Notamacropus eugenii: one gene and its partner. The protein of the gene in region 1 interacts with the protein of each later gene in a pairwise test. Links are inferred from orthologs where the notes say so. Each region holds a gene or a part of one and is shown on either strand. Other genes may lie near its edges.

Region 1 (7,213 bases):
CCCAGGCCTTGAGACTCCATGCTGTCCTGAGTTTCTAAGAGATTTCTTAGAACATTAGAAGTTCAGCTAGGAGGGTAACACACTTAAAACATACAGACCCTTCCCCATGATACTTCAGCTAAGTACCCCCAATCATCTTCAAGGCAATATGAGCATTCCCCTAGGTAGTTATAGTTTGCAGGTCCCTCTTGATGACCCTACAGTCAACCACAGGGGAGGAGGAGCTCAGTTCAGCTGTCCTCCTATCCACTTGGGCAGAATCAAGGACCAAGCACAGCTGCTGGGAGCCTTAGGGCACATTCACACACCACACCACACCACACCACACTATACCACACCCACCCACACACACACACACACTCACACACACACTCTCCCTCCTTTAAGTCCCCAACGTTTTGAAAGGCAAGCAGGGCACTAGGAAGAAACATGTGTCTGGGATTTCCACAAACAGCTGAAGTCACCTTCCTGTCCAGCATGAGCCTGAGACCCATGCTAGGTTGCATGCCCTTTCTCACCCTTGGCAGAACTTTGAATGCCATCACCTTTCCTTTAGCTCCTGAATCCTCAGCTTTTTTAGGGGTTAATATCAGTATTTATATCAATATAAAGAATGTCCAAAGTTGAAAAGATCTTGGAAATAATCTAAATCTCATTTTAGAGAGGAAGAATGCCAGGGCCCAGAGAGAGGAAGTGATTTGCCCGAAGTGGTCATCCAACTAGTTCATGAAAGAATTAGGTCTATAATCTGGGTTTCTGGACTCCCTGTCTGGTGCTCTCTCTCTGCTGGACACCAAGCTGCCTCTTTGAGCAATGCTCTGCTTACTCTCCCTGTCAGGCCCCTATGCACAACAACCACGATAATCTTCTCAATTCAGGAATCTTTTACAACTTATAGCCTGTTTCCATGCACCTCTATTTTGGTCACAGAGGTGAGACTTTTACTTCAGAGGATCACCCTTACCGATCACTCTGCTTGGGCCAAGAGTTGGAGTCTGTAGAGGAGCCAGCTCCACAGCTATCTACATTCTAGATGATTGAGGGGTGGGCAGCTCTCCTCCCCCCATGCCACCCCCAAGATTTCCAAGACCAACAGGACAATGCTAGTTTCTACATTGGGCAGGTACAGGGATAGCACTTCCAAGGCTCTGACATCTTGTTCTTCAAACACCTATTCCTCTCTAACCGGAAGGCAATCTCCTCAATCTCAATTAACAATTTAGACTCCTCCTACCACCCCCTTTTACCATGCCGGAAAGCTTAGGAAACTCAGGCCTCTTCCACAAAAGAGAGAGTAAATCTGTCTCTAGGGGAATTGGGATTTGGATGTTCAGGTCCATTGCTGAACTTTCCCTCAAAACCCTAAGCACATTCCCACTTTCTCTGGAAAACCAGACTCGGCCTTTCTTCTTAAGGTCTCGGGGGTTTCCTCTCCCCTCCCCCCATACTTCTCTACTTCCCTTCACAATGCTCATTGATCTGTTCTGTGTCAGCCCTCATATCTACCTGAGCTTGGACTCATCCTCATCCTAGTCATTATCTCCACCAAATATACATCTATATCAACAGATATCTGGATACATCTAAACATATAGATAGATCTCCCTTTACATCTATATATAGAGTTCTCTATAGCTGTGTGTATATATGGGTATAGATCTATCTGCATAGCTATGTCTCTATATCACAGCTATAGATTTAGAAGTACAATTAATATAGATAGCTACAGATCTTGGTAGGTAGACTTCCCCGTCTCCCCCCTCCGCTTCTGTGGGACTCAGTCCGTGTCTCCAGGAGCTCACTGGGGCCTTCGCTTCCTTCCTTGCCCCCTTTTCCGGGCTGACCATCTCATTCTGACAGGGTAAGTGGCCCATTGTTGCGCTGTCCTCCCCATCTGTCCACACACCTTTCCACCTCTCCTCCTGCCTTCTGCATGCACACTGTACTCACACCTGCCCCACCATGCCCCGAGCCTTGTTACTCACCCCTTCCTGGCAGCCTCTGACTCGTCCTGTTACTACCTCCGCTCTCTCGCTCTCTCTCTCTCTCCCTCCAACCCAAACATCTCCATGGCCCACGATTCCTCCTCCCTCCCTCCCCCCTTATTACTCACTGCCTCCCACTGCCACACTCTTGGTCCCTCTCGGGCGTGGGACACCTTCTTCCTCCTCTGCCCCGTCCCCCTGCCCTCCCCAGCCGGGTCTCCCCGACACCCCAGCCCAGGTCGCACGCCGGGCTGCCGCACCACCTTCCATTCATCACCTGGGTCCTCCTCCTCCTCGTCCCGGACGCCCCCCGTCCCGGTTTCCTTGCCGGGTCGTCCGCCCGGACCCCCTGCGTCGTTACCTTCTTCATGATGCCCGTCTTCCTCTTGCTGAAGGTCGTGTAGCGCCGCAGCTTGTTGTCGATGAACTCCATCTTGATCTTCACGCGGCCGCGGGTCTTCTTGCCCGGCTTGGCCCCGCTCACGGCGCCGCTAACGGGGCCGTAGCCCCCGGCCGCCGCCGCTGCCACGGCCGCCGCCGCCGCCTCGGACCCTCCGACCACCACGCCGAGTTCCATGTCGCTCAGGCCGCGCTTGAGGCCACGCCGCTCGGCTCCCAGCTCCTCCTCGTCGCCGGACTCGGAGTCGCCCTCGCTGCCGCTGTACAGGGTCCCCGTGGCCGCTGCTGCCGCCGCCGCCGCCGCTGCAGCCGCCGCCGCCTCCCGGTCCAGGCGGCCGGGCCCCAGCCCCGCGCCGTTCCCGGGGCCGCGGCCCCCGTTAGCCCCGCGAGTCCCGCCGCCCGGCCGCCCCGTCGGGGCCCGGACCAGGCCGCCCCCCAGGGCCGAGCCCCGGCCCAGCGCCGCCGCGGCCCCAGCCTGGCTCGGTAACATGGCGCTCAGTACGGGCGGGCTGGCGTCCGGACGGGCGGGCAATCAGCGCGGGGCCGGGACTGCTGCTGCCGCCGCCGCCGCCATCGGCCTCCGCTCCCCGCCCCGACTCGGCTCCTGCTGCTGCGGAAGGCTGCTGCTCCTGCTCCTGCCGCCGCCGCCGCCGCCGCCGCGAGCCCGGGGCCCCTTGCACGGCCCGCTCCGGGCCCTCACGCTCCTGCCCCGGTGGCCCGGGTTGCCCCAGGCCGCGTGCAGCGCCCCCTGTCCGAGAGCTCAGGCGGCGCGCCCCGCGGCCGTCAACGTGCCCCCGGGGGCTGGGGCTAAAGCAGCAGCTGCTGGCGGCAGCGGCGGCGGCGGCGGCGGGCGGAGGGGGCCGGGACCACGCGCTGTCGGCGGAGGGATCCCCCGACCCTTCCCCCCATATAAAGAGATACAATGTTTCCTTTTATGGCGAGGCCGCTCCTTATATGGTGAGCCCCAGCGCCCCCGCCCTATTGGTCGGCGGTTCCGGCACCTCCGTCTCCCATTGGCCCACCTCAAGGGGGGGGAACTGTTCATTTGCATTGGCATACCAGGCCAGCTGCTGTCATTCTAGCGTCAGGCCGAGGCGCGGAGTCCAGAGGCTCCGGCGTCTCTTAAAGAGACAGGAGGTTGGAGAATGGTCTCCGCCCCCTCCGGACGGTGGGGGTTGAGAGAATCCAAGGATGGGGTGGAAGGGGCGGAGGGAAACCCGGGAGATGAAGCGGTTTAGAGCGCCCATCCCGGGAAGGGAGGAAAGGAAATTGGAACGCAGAAGGGGCACAACAGGCAGGAATGGGGGGGCCCAGGCTGGATCGGTGAGAAGACTGAGCAAGGGGCCAAGTTTACTTAAAGAGGCACGCTTCTGGAGGTCCGTGGGGGGTACAGAAAAGGGGGGCTGTGCGCTGGCCTTGACCCCAAACATTCCTCCCCACTCTTCCTCTTAATTAGCCCTACAATTTAAAGGGGTCAGCTCCTTGGTCTGCATCCATCATCTCCCACCTTGGGGGTAAGGGGAAGGAAGACCTCTGGAAGAATGAGATCAGGAAGAAGAAAAGGGGCTCCTGAGTGTTTGGAGGTCACTCAGTCCAGCCCTCTCCTTTACTAATGGGAAGACGGAGGCGCCGAGTTTAAGTAGCTTGCCCCGGCACACTGCTAGCCTCTGAGATCCGGACTCTGGCGTTTTTTTCTTTTGGGGGGGAGGGGGGAAACCACAGCTTCCACTTACAAAATGAGGCTAGGAGAAGTTTGAGTCCTTTCAGTCATGTGTGGTGCACAGCGGGACAAAGGCACGGACCACATAGGGCGGAGGGGAGTTTTGAGAGTAGGGAGAATAAAGAAGTCCACATGAGGATCACCTCTTCTCTTCTCGTAGGAAAAATGAAAGCTCAGAAGAATGGGATCTATGGGAGCTAGAACTGGGAGACTCTGGGGAGCCTTTAGAGCCCTTGGGCTCCCTCTCCCTCCTTTTACAGAGGACAGGGAAGGCACATGATAGGAAGTAGCTGTGCAGTGTCACAAGTAGTCTGAGGAGCAAAGCTAGGATTCAGATCTTCCTCTTTGGTGCTGTATTTCAGTGGACACTGATGGAGTGGAGGACTGTTTCATTCACTGTTATGTATCTCTCTAGCACCTAGCAATTAATAACACTGGCTGATCGACAGATGAACCTGGACTTGTTTATCATGTCCCACCATACCAATGCAAGAATTAACAATCCCTATATCCCTTCCCAAGCTTGAATCATCTTAGGAAAATGTAAAATAATATTCCATGACACATGAAAAAATCTGTGATTTCATCAGCAGAGTCTCAAACTAAGTTTACTTATCAGATAAAAATCCTAGGAAGTTTCTGGAAGTGAGGCAAGATTTCTGCTCAACTTTTTGGCTATGAAAATTAAGTAAAAAACTGGTAAGAGGAGGCGTCTCTAAGGAGGCATACCTCTAAAGGGGTATTTAGGAATATGTGGGACTAGAGAGATACATTTATGACTTTGGGAACAAGAAAGCCAAAATGTTACTCATGTCTGGCCCCAAGTCGCAACCCTAGGCCTTCCTCCAGTTACATCTCAATTCTCTCACTCAATTCAGTAATTGTTGAAAAAGCCCTGGATTTGAGATTCAGAAAACCTTAAGTTATAGCCTCTGAACACCAGCTTCCTGATTTGTAATATGGGGATAATAAAGCAAAACCGAGTAAGGTTCTTTAAAGCTTGTGTACATGTAAGCTATTGCCCTCATTTGTCTGATGTTTTAACCTTTTTTCTAGAAAGATCAAGGTCATACTTGGGATTCTCAGCTTTAACCTAGGAAATGAAAGAATGTGACACTTCCCTGTTCAACCCTCTTTTCCTCCTCTTTAGTTACAGTGAAGATTTGGACCAAGAGTAGGGTTATCTCCACTGGATCACAGAACTAAAGCTAGAAGGGACCTCAGAGGCCATCTGATCTCCATCTGTCCCCTACCCCATTTTACAGATGGAGAAATGAGGCACAGAAGTGTTAATGGCTTACCCAAGGTGGTCACAAAAGATATATATCATGGTAAAATTTGAACTCAGGTTCTCTGATACCTGCATTTAGTATTCTTTTCACTACACTATACTGGTGGCATATATTAACACATAATGTGTGTATATACGTATGCATGTATGTATACACACATGTGTATATGGGTTTTTACACACACACATACACACACACACGGCTTAATCATGGCCAAATTTCATTCCAGCTTCCCTGGAATAGATCATAACAAGAACTTTTAGCTGGGGCCTCCACATTCTTTCCCTAGAGCTTCTCATATCCTTGAGATAATATGTGGTTAAACACTTCTCTGAAGTAGTGGCATAGTGGCCACAAGGTTTTTTTCCTCATTTCTTTCCTAGAGTGCTTTGAAAACACAAGATTTAACACTTCCAGAGTCACAGAACTAAAATCTAGGTTCTAGATTTAGACTTTAGTCCAATTTCATTATTTTACAGATGAAGAAACTTAGGGGGAAAGTGGTTTGTCTGAATCATTAAGAAGCAGCCTCAGAATCTGAATCCAGGTTGAGTCCAAATCCAGTGACCTTTCCACTGACCCAAACTGAGATCTCATGCAACACTATAGTTATTCTATACACCTCATCAACTCTTTTCCATGTCATCCTATAAATTCTCCACAGGGAGTCCACTCAATGAGCTACTGGCCCTTCCTCTGGACCTCAGCATTTTGTAAGTACTGGGTCTATCTCTGTTGTTATGCTTTAATTGGCTACTGGTTCATTTAATTTTTCTTATGCCACTTTTTTTCAATAGGAATAGAGTAAATATGCTTGTAAGTTTATTTATACCTACTCCTACATCTCTTTACTTCCATTTTTGATTAGTTAAAAGAAACCTGGTGCATTTCATGATTCAGAACTATATAATATCACAAGAATAATTTTTGTTTAAGGGATGAATTTTATCTTGGGGGTTTTTTTAGTTTTTGTTTCAGCAACTTAAAAGAACTGCACAGTTTTTTAAATGCAATCTCCCCTGGAAGTTTTTGAGTTAGGCCCAGCCCAGTGGGTCCAATCAAGCAATGTCTGTCCAGGATAATGGGCAGAATGGCTGTCCTGGGCTTGGCAAATAGAGCACTTGAAAAACCTTACAGTGTGCATTGTATATAAATTTTATGAGCAATTTATTCATCCACTTCTTTTTTCCTATGTGAACTTTTAGAGGCTTAAACTGGAGTGGTTTTAAATCCCTTTAAGAGGCAACTGTCTTTCCATACTTGAAGCATTAGTACAGTGTTCCTCTGCAGACATTTAGGGGACTTCATTATAAGTCTGGTGAAGCCTGTGGATCCCTTCTCAGAAGAATGGGTTTAAATGCATAACATGTAATACAGAAGATTACAAAGGAAATCAAATTTTATTAAAATAAAGAAGGACCTGAGTCTATGAACCCCCAGTTAAGAAGTCCTAATCTACAGAGGTCCTTCCATTTGGACTCATGGAGAAACAGAAAAGAGAGGGGAGGAGGAAGGGGAGGAGCAGGAGGAGAAAGAAGAAAGAGAAGGAGAAAGGAGAGAGGAAAATAGGGAAGAGAGAGAGAGAGAGCGAGCGAGTGAGAGAGCAAATGCACTAGCCAGCCCACTAAGAAAGCTAATGCAATCTTGGCATTCAGGAAATAAGAACCTGAATGTCTGTTCCATTTTACTATACCTATGTCAGGCCACATCTGGAGTATATTCAGTTGTGGGTACTATGTAATATATTTAAGAAGAATATTGGGAAACTTGAGTGTGTCCTGAAGAGAGCAAGCTAGATGGTGATACAGGCCTCAGAG
Region 2 (7,550 bases), about 330 Mb from region 1:
TGGGTATCATTCTCCAAAATGGTTGGAGCAGTTTACAACTCCACCAACAGTGTGGCACAATGATATTCTATTACATTCATATGCTACATACCCCAAAAAGGTGAGCATCCCCTTAATTTCTAGATTTTTTCATTACTATGAAAAGAACTGTTATATAGTTACTTTTCATTTTCTATTTGGGTCAAAGGGTTTGGACAATTTTATAAATTTTTAGGTTAGCATAGTTTGAAATTGCTTTCCTGAATGGCTAGACCAATTCATCAACAATGTACTTGTATGTCTGTTTTATTGCAGCCTTTCTATCCCCAACACTGGTCATTTTCCTCTCTTGTAATCTTAGTCAATTTGATGGCTATGAGGTAGAATCTCATAGTTGCTTTAATTTGGATTTCTCTTGTTATTAATGATTTGAAGCACTTAAAAAATTTATATATAAAATTAAGTCACTTATTTTTAGTTTTCAACATTCACTTCCATAAGATTATGAGTTTTAAATTTTCTCCCCTTCCTTCTCCTCTCTCCTTCCCAATCTCATATAGGCTCTACTTATACATTCATATTAAACATATTTTCCCATTAGTCATGATATAAAGAAGAATTAGAACTAATGAGAGGAACCATAAGAAAGAAGAAACAAAACAAAACAACAACAAAAAAGGAGAGCAAATAGTATGCTTCCATCTGCATTCAGACTCCAAATTTCTCTGAATGTGGATAGCATTTTCCAGAGTGAGTCTTCTGGAGTTGTCTTAGGTCCCTGCATTGCTGAGAAGAGCTAAGTCTATCAAAGTCAGCCACTGCAATGTTAATGTCACTGTGTACAATGTTCTCCTGGTTCTGCTCATTTCACTCAGCATCAGTTCATATAAGTCTTTCCAGGTTTTTCTGAAGTCTGTCTGCTCATCATTTCTTATAGCACAACAGTATTCCATTACATTATATACCACAATTTGTTCAGCCATTCCCTAACTGATGGACATCCCCTCAATTTCCAATTCTTTACCACCACAAAAAGAGCTGCTATAAATATTTTTTGTACATGTAGGTCCTTTTCCTGGAGCATTTTTTCATATAATTATTAATAGTGGGAATGATTTTTAATGTTCTGTGTTTAGGAAAATATTACTGTTCTATTAAGAGTACATGGTTCCAGTAAGCAGGGATTATGCCTTTGTTTTCCTAGCCCCTAGCACACTGCCCTGTACATAGTAGGAATGTAATAAGTGCTTGTTGAATTGATTTACTGGAAAAAATGCCTGGCACAGAAATATTAGACTGCTTATGGCCCAAGGTTTAATTGGCCTTGTTGGCCTCTTTCTTTTTCCCTGCCAGACTTTTAGAAAAAGCAGTCTGCACTCACAACCTAACTCTCCTCAACTCCCCTGTATTTAATCTGTCACTGACTCCATATATCCAATCTGTCAAGTCTTTTCTTTTTTACTTCACAACATCTCTATAGGCTCTTATCACCTCTCGCCTGGACAATTGCAGTAACTAATCTTTAACTGGTCTTCCTGTCTTTAGTTCTTTCCTACGCTAAAGCAATTTTCTGAAAGCACAGCTATTACTATACATATCTCTCCCTTTTCCCACCAAATAAATTCCAATAACTATTATCTCCAGGATGAAACAGAAAATTTGCTGGAATTAAAAAGCCTTCACAATCTGGCCCCTTCCTACCTTTCTAAATCTTACATTTTACTCTTGTCTGCTCATTCTATGAGTATTCCAGCTACACTAGTCTGCTTTCTCAAATTCTGTCTTCTGTAGAAGGCCTTTCCTGACTCATTCCTCTCCCATCCTTTCCCTCTAAAATTGCCTCTATATATCGCATATGTCTTGAATGTACATAATTATTTGCATGTTATTTCCCTTATAAAAATGTGAGGTCCATGAAAGAAGGAACACTATTTTTTTTTTCCTTTCTTTGTATTCCCAGAATAGTGCCTGAGCATAGTAAGCATTTAATAAATACTTGTTGACTGACTCCTCAGTCTTTTATAACTTAGCCACGAGATGATTTCTATGCCAAAAAAATCTTTTTTCCCGAGGTTACCAATGACCTCTTTATAGATAAATCTGAAAGTCAGGATGGTATTGTGGAAAAATAATCTCAGAGTGGGGAATATGTGGGATCAGTTTCTGTCACATACTGGCTAAGTGACCTTGGGCAAGATACCACCTCTCTGTATTGGGCTTCTCTCAAGCTTACATTGCAGAACACTGCCAATCTGGGTTGGCAGAGGGACTTTCCTTACTAGGAAGTCCTTACCCTGATGAAGTAACATCTGTACCAAAAAGGAATAAATCCGATTGTTTTTATTCTGTCCTCAATTACTTTTACTAATGACTCCGGTAAAGGCACAGATGACGTGCTTATCAAATTTACAGCTGACTCAAAGCTGAGAGACGTGGCAAACAAACTGGATGATGGTCAGGATCCAAAAAGCTCTTAACAAACTAGAAGCCTGTATTGAGTCTGGCAGGATCCCCAAGCCAAGACCACCCCTTTCTTTTTACTATTAGGAGATACCCTGTTTTCCTGAGCTAAGGTCCAGCAAGTACCCTGAGCTTGGCATAACAACAGTCCTTTGCACTCACCCTCTACATGAACTCAGCCTCGGCAACATCCCAGTATTGTTTCACACCTGCACCAGGTGGTCTCTTGAGCTTGTTTAAGTACCTGTAGTACCTGTGTCCCAGTCATAAAATCCTGCTATGAATCAAGCTTGTCTCACTGTAGCTGTCAGGGATACAGCTCACTGCGCAGCCTCTAGCGCATACGCTGAGATTTACCCACACTAAAATAGGTCTCCTACTACAGGGGGCCTGGCACATGTATCTAGTTTTCCTCCTCCGATGGAATAAAAAGCTTTTGCTTATGACTGCAGTTATCCCTTTGGTTTTATTTTTTATTTTATTTTTTAGAGTTAACTGCAGTTTTGATAACTTGTGTGAGCTCTCTGGTTTTGTTTTGTTTTTGAGTTAACAGCAGTTGCAGAGTTGCTGTGGCTCTTTGGTCGTTGGGTTAGAGTTGACAAGTCAAATGAGTTGAAATTGAATATGGATAAATGTAAAGTCTTACAACTGGGCTAAAAACCCTACTTCACAAGTACAAGCAGTGGGAGGGGAGGAGAAAGAGTTAAAGAGCAGTTTGTCTGACAAAGATCTTGGGGGTTCTGGTGGGCTTCCAGGGCAGTGAGTCAGCAATGCAAGAGGACCCAGGATAAAGTCTTGGGGGGGGGGGGGGATATCCAGTTAGGACAATTGAGTCATGGGAGAACTAGTACCGTGAAAACCAAGAGGATGGCCAAAGACTGCAGAAAAGCCAAGACGGATACATATAAACCATTCCGTATTTACTGAACTAGTATATACTTATCCAGGGATAGTTTGTATCTCTCTAGTATAAGGATTCTGAACCTGGGATGAACAGCCTCCTCTCTGGGACAAGATTTCAGCAGGTCCATGAAACTGGAGGAAGAAAAATTCTACCTTCAGCCTCTAACTGAAATTTAGCATGTGCTCCCATTATTATAAAACACCGCAGAGAAGAGGGCCGCAGGCTCCCCGGGCTGTCAGAAGGAGAGCTCCTTGGGCCGGCACCGTCTCTCCTTCTCGGGTCTGTATCCCCAGAGGCAAGCAGGGGAGGCGGACTGGGCACAGAGTCCTTCCCCTTTGGGCTCCCGTTTACCTTCCTCATTTCGTTTCATACAATTCTGTGTATTCCCAGCATTTAGCTACAGTGCCTGACACACAGTAGGCGCTTAATAAATGCTTACTGACAGACTCTTAATTGCGGTACCTCCCTTCCGAGTTATCCATGTATTCTGTCTGTAGCTTGCTTTGTATATATTCGTGAGTCCTCGGAGGGCGGGCACCTCTCTTTGGCCTCTTTTTGTATCGTCGGCGCTTAGCCGGTGCCCGGCACCAGCAGGCGCTTAATAAATGCGCGCTGGTCGGTCACGTGCCAGAAAGAGGGGTCAAGGGCGATGGGGGAGGAGCGCGCCCCTGTGGCCGCTGGGGTGGGCCGGCCAGGGTTAGCTAGTTCCACGGGGAGTTCCGGGCGGCGGCCCTGGAAATCCCCCTCCCCCGGCACGGCCGGGTCCGGACGCTCGGGGCCAGGCGTCCTGGAGGGTGACCGCGGCCGCCGCGCCTCCCGCTTCCGGCCCCGGGCTCTGGGGGGGTGGCGGCGCTCCTCCCGTCCGCCCGCCCCGCCCCCGGAAGTGACGCAGACAGCTACCGAGGCCGGGAGGGGTCGGGCTCGGGCCGGAGGGCGGCAGCGGCTGAGCAGACGCGGCGGCCGCGGGGCCGAGCCGAGGAACGCTCCGAGCGCGCGCCCCCGCCCCCGCCCATCCGCCCGCTGGCCGGTCGGTGAGGGCGGCTAGCGGCCCGACCGCCCGGCTCCGTTGCCCAGGCTGTGCGTGCGTGTGCGTGCCTGCGGACGGAGGACGGAGGACGGGGACGGGACGGGAGGAGCGGCGGCGGCGGGAGATGCGGGCGAGCGCGGGCGCCCGGCGGGCTCGGCTGGGCCGCCGCCGCCTCCGCGGCCGTAGCGCCCGTGGGCTGCCCGCGTGAGGAGACGGCCGCGGGGGGCCGCCGCCGGGGCTGAGCCGCAGCTCGGCGGCGCCCGAGGGAGAGGAGGACCTGAGGGAGACCCCGCGCCCTCGGTGAGTGAGCCTCGCCCCTCGCCCCCGCCCAGCGCTGCTCTCGGGGCCGCCGCCCACGCCGCGCGCAGGAAGCGAGCGCCCCCTCCCCCCCGAGCTTGGGGGTGGGGCCGGCGGGGGCGGGAGAGGGAGAGGGGTGGGCGCGCCCCCCAGCCCGCTCCGATCCTCGGGAGCCGCAGGCCCCCCAGCCCGCCCACGACTGCGGGGCGCCGCCAACCAGAGCATCCCTGTGTGCGGTGCGGGCCGGGAGGAAGGGAGGGAGCTGGATTTCGTTCGCTGGCAGGAAGTCGGAAAATGAAAGCACAGCCCTGGGCTGCTCCCGAGGGAGGCCTGGGGGCCGGCGGCGCTCCCCAGGACTTTGGTCGCCCTGCTCCGGCCACGCGGTCATCGGCCTTGCCCCCTCCCGCGGATCCGGCCGCTCCTGCTTTGGGATACCCTGGGATCTCACTTTGTTCCGAGGCTGGTCGTGGCGCTGACCAGGGGACTGGTCAGAAGCACGTTTTTCTCCTGCGATTATGCCTCAGGTGCCAGGGATGCCAGAGTGAAACGAGAAGCGCCCAGGAACCTAGAGCTTAGCTGGAGGGACAAGACAGTAGGGCGTTCTGTGTTACGAGAAGTACACAGGAGAGATTCAGAGAGGCAGGAGACATTTAAGAAGGAAGCTCCCCTGAGAGGTGGGAGGACTCCTGGCCGGGGGCCACCCGATCTGGACTAGGAGACGGCGGAGAAGGGCTGTTGTCTGGGACAGCCCTGAGAGATGCTGTTGCCGTTTTTCCTACTCTTGGCTTTTGATGTTTGTAATTCAGTGTGACCTTTCCCGACCCCATTTAGGGTTTTCTTGGCAAAGAGAATATTTTACTCATTTCAGCAAAATCTGTAGGATGCTGTTTGCTTTAAAAAAAAAAAAGCCACAGAAATTCACTACACCTTTAGGTTGCTAGGTCATGCCCTTTTTTATGTTTTGATCTGGTAGGAAGTATAATTTTACTTCTAGAAAAAGCATCATGATGTCCTGGTGCTGAAAGACATTGGTTCAAATCTCAAGTTCTCATATTTACTAGTTGTGTGACTTTTTGCCAAATCTCAGTTTCCTCCTGTTTCACTTAGGAGCAATCATCAGGCAGCTTGGCATAGTGGAAATTGAGTGGTGACCTGAGTTTGGAGATCTGGGGCAAATCACTTCAGCTCTCAGCCCCAGAGAAGATGTGTATTTGCATTGGTAGTGAAGGCACCTCTCTAGAGACTCCTTACACTTAAGAAATTACAAGTTCCTCAAAAAATCCTAGTACAAATACTCTGCAGAATGATGAAGTGAGGAAAGTGCATCATAGACTTTAATGTACTTTAACTCAGATTTGTTTCTCTAATGGTATCTTTATTAAAGTGTTTCATGAGTTTTGATATTCTATCTTAATCTTCCATCCCTCTTGTATTTCAGTTTTGTTTCCAAAGTGCCTAAGTGGAAATCAATTACATTATTAATAAAGTATCATCTTTTCCAAATGCTGCTATTTGTAATATTTTACTATATATTTCCAATACTATTTGAGTACACTCATATGGGATTAGATTTTTTAATTTTTTAATGTTCATATTTCAGTATCAGTTTTGGTCCATTTAATGAACTGAGATGATTTTATTCTATCTATAATTGAAGTTTTTTTAAATCTGTTTTTTGACAATTATGCTCTGTGTCACTATGGCAACTGAATAGTGTGTATTGTAAACATGTTTAGGTTGGAAAAGGTCTCACTTAGAGACTTCTTTTTCATAATAAGAAAGTATTAACATTATCAAACTTTGATATAGATATTATCCTTTATCCCAGAGTTAAGAAATCGCATGTATATTCTGAAATTCTCCCAGCTTTAAGATGTTCACTGCATATTCAGTTGCAACATATTCAGCATCCCACTTGTATTAATATCAGCTAATTTATTTTGAGAAAAGATCATTTTATTTCTCCTTTTGTTTTGTGCTGAAGAAAACACAAGTGTCCCTTCTTTGAAGCTGTATTTGAAAAAATGTTAAAATAAAAATATAATGTATTCACCTTTTTGAACCACAGTGACAAGAATAAGGTTATCTTTGCTTTTTTTAAAATTTAAGCTTTCTTAATATAAGCTCTAGAGGGTCATAAGGTAGTAGTTTTAGAACTGAAAGGGACCTTAGGCCATCTCGTTCACTCTGATTATTTTACAGATGAGGAAACTGAGATGAAGAAAGGTTAAATGATTTACCCAAGATTATATAGGTAGGAAGATTGGGGTGGACTTTGAAGGGAGGTCCCCTGATTCCAGAGCCAATAGTTATTTTTTCTTCTATACCATTCTGCCTTGTGTGAGGTTTTCTTGACAGCTGTCCCTTCCACTTAATACCTTATGTATATTTTGTATTTATATGTATACATATATGTATGTGATATCTTTCTAAATAGGATGTAAATCCCCTAAGAGCAGAGAATGGTTCATTTTTGTCTTTGTATTAGGGCCTGGCACATAGTAGACACTTAATAAACACTTGCTGATTGAGTAGAATGTCTTAAAAACAAGTTGTCTATTTAAAAAGATATTACTGAAATCTGTGTTTATACCATAATTTCAGAAAATAGTATTTAGGAATTGGACACAAGGAATAAGTAGTCAACTAAATCTTGGCTAAGATGTCAACCAAAGAAAAGCTTGATGTCCTAATTGAATAGGATAATACCAATTGAAACAGCACAGTCACTTCAAAGAATTCATTTCAGTGTGGCAGTGTTCCTCTTTCCTTGACTGTCATTCTCAACATCTCCAATTCCAAATGCGTTAGATGTATTTGATGTCATTCAGTGCCCAGAGAAAGTGTATTCTGTAATATAGTTTCTGCATTTGATATACTCAC

Evidence for each region.
Region 2: the proteins of SRF (region 1) and ELK4 interact in a two-hybrid assay, tested with the Homo sapiens proteins (2 studies listed by BioGRID and IntAct). The link is inferred for Notamacropus eugenii from reciprocal best matches to the Homo sapiens genes SRF and ELK4.

The regions. Positions count from the first base shown.
Region 1 is NC_092873.1:106,071,554-106,078,766, reverse strand, and holds the start of SRF (serum response factor), read right to left. Parts: upstream 3,008-7,213; 5' UTR 2,875-3,007; coding exon 2,347-2,874; intron 1-2,346. UniProt on the Homo sapiens protein: SRF is a transcription factor that binds to the serum response element (SRE), a short sequence of dyad symmetry located 300 bp to the 5' of the site of transcription initiation of some genes (such as FOS).
Region 2 is NC_092873.1:433,841,831-433,849,380, forward strand, and holds the start of ELK4 (ETS domain-containing protein Elk-4), read left to right. Parts: upstream 1-4,535; 5' UTR 4,536-4,670; intron 4,671-7,550. UniProt on the Homo sapiens protein: Involved in both transcriptional activation and repression. Interaction with SIRT7 leads to recruitment and stabilization of SIRT7 at promoters, followed by deacetylation of histone H3 at 'Lys-18' (H3K18Ac) and subsequent transcription repression.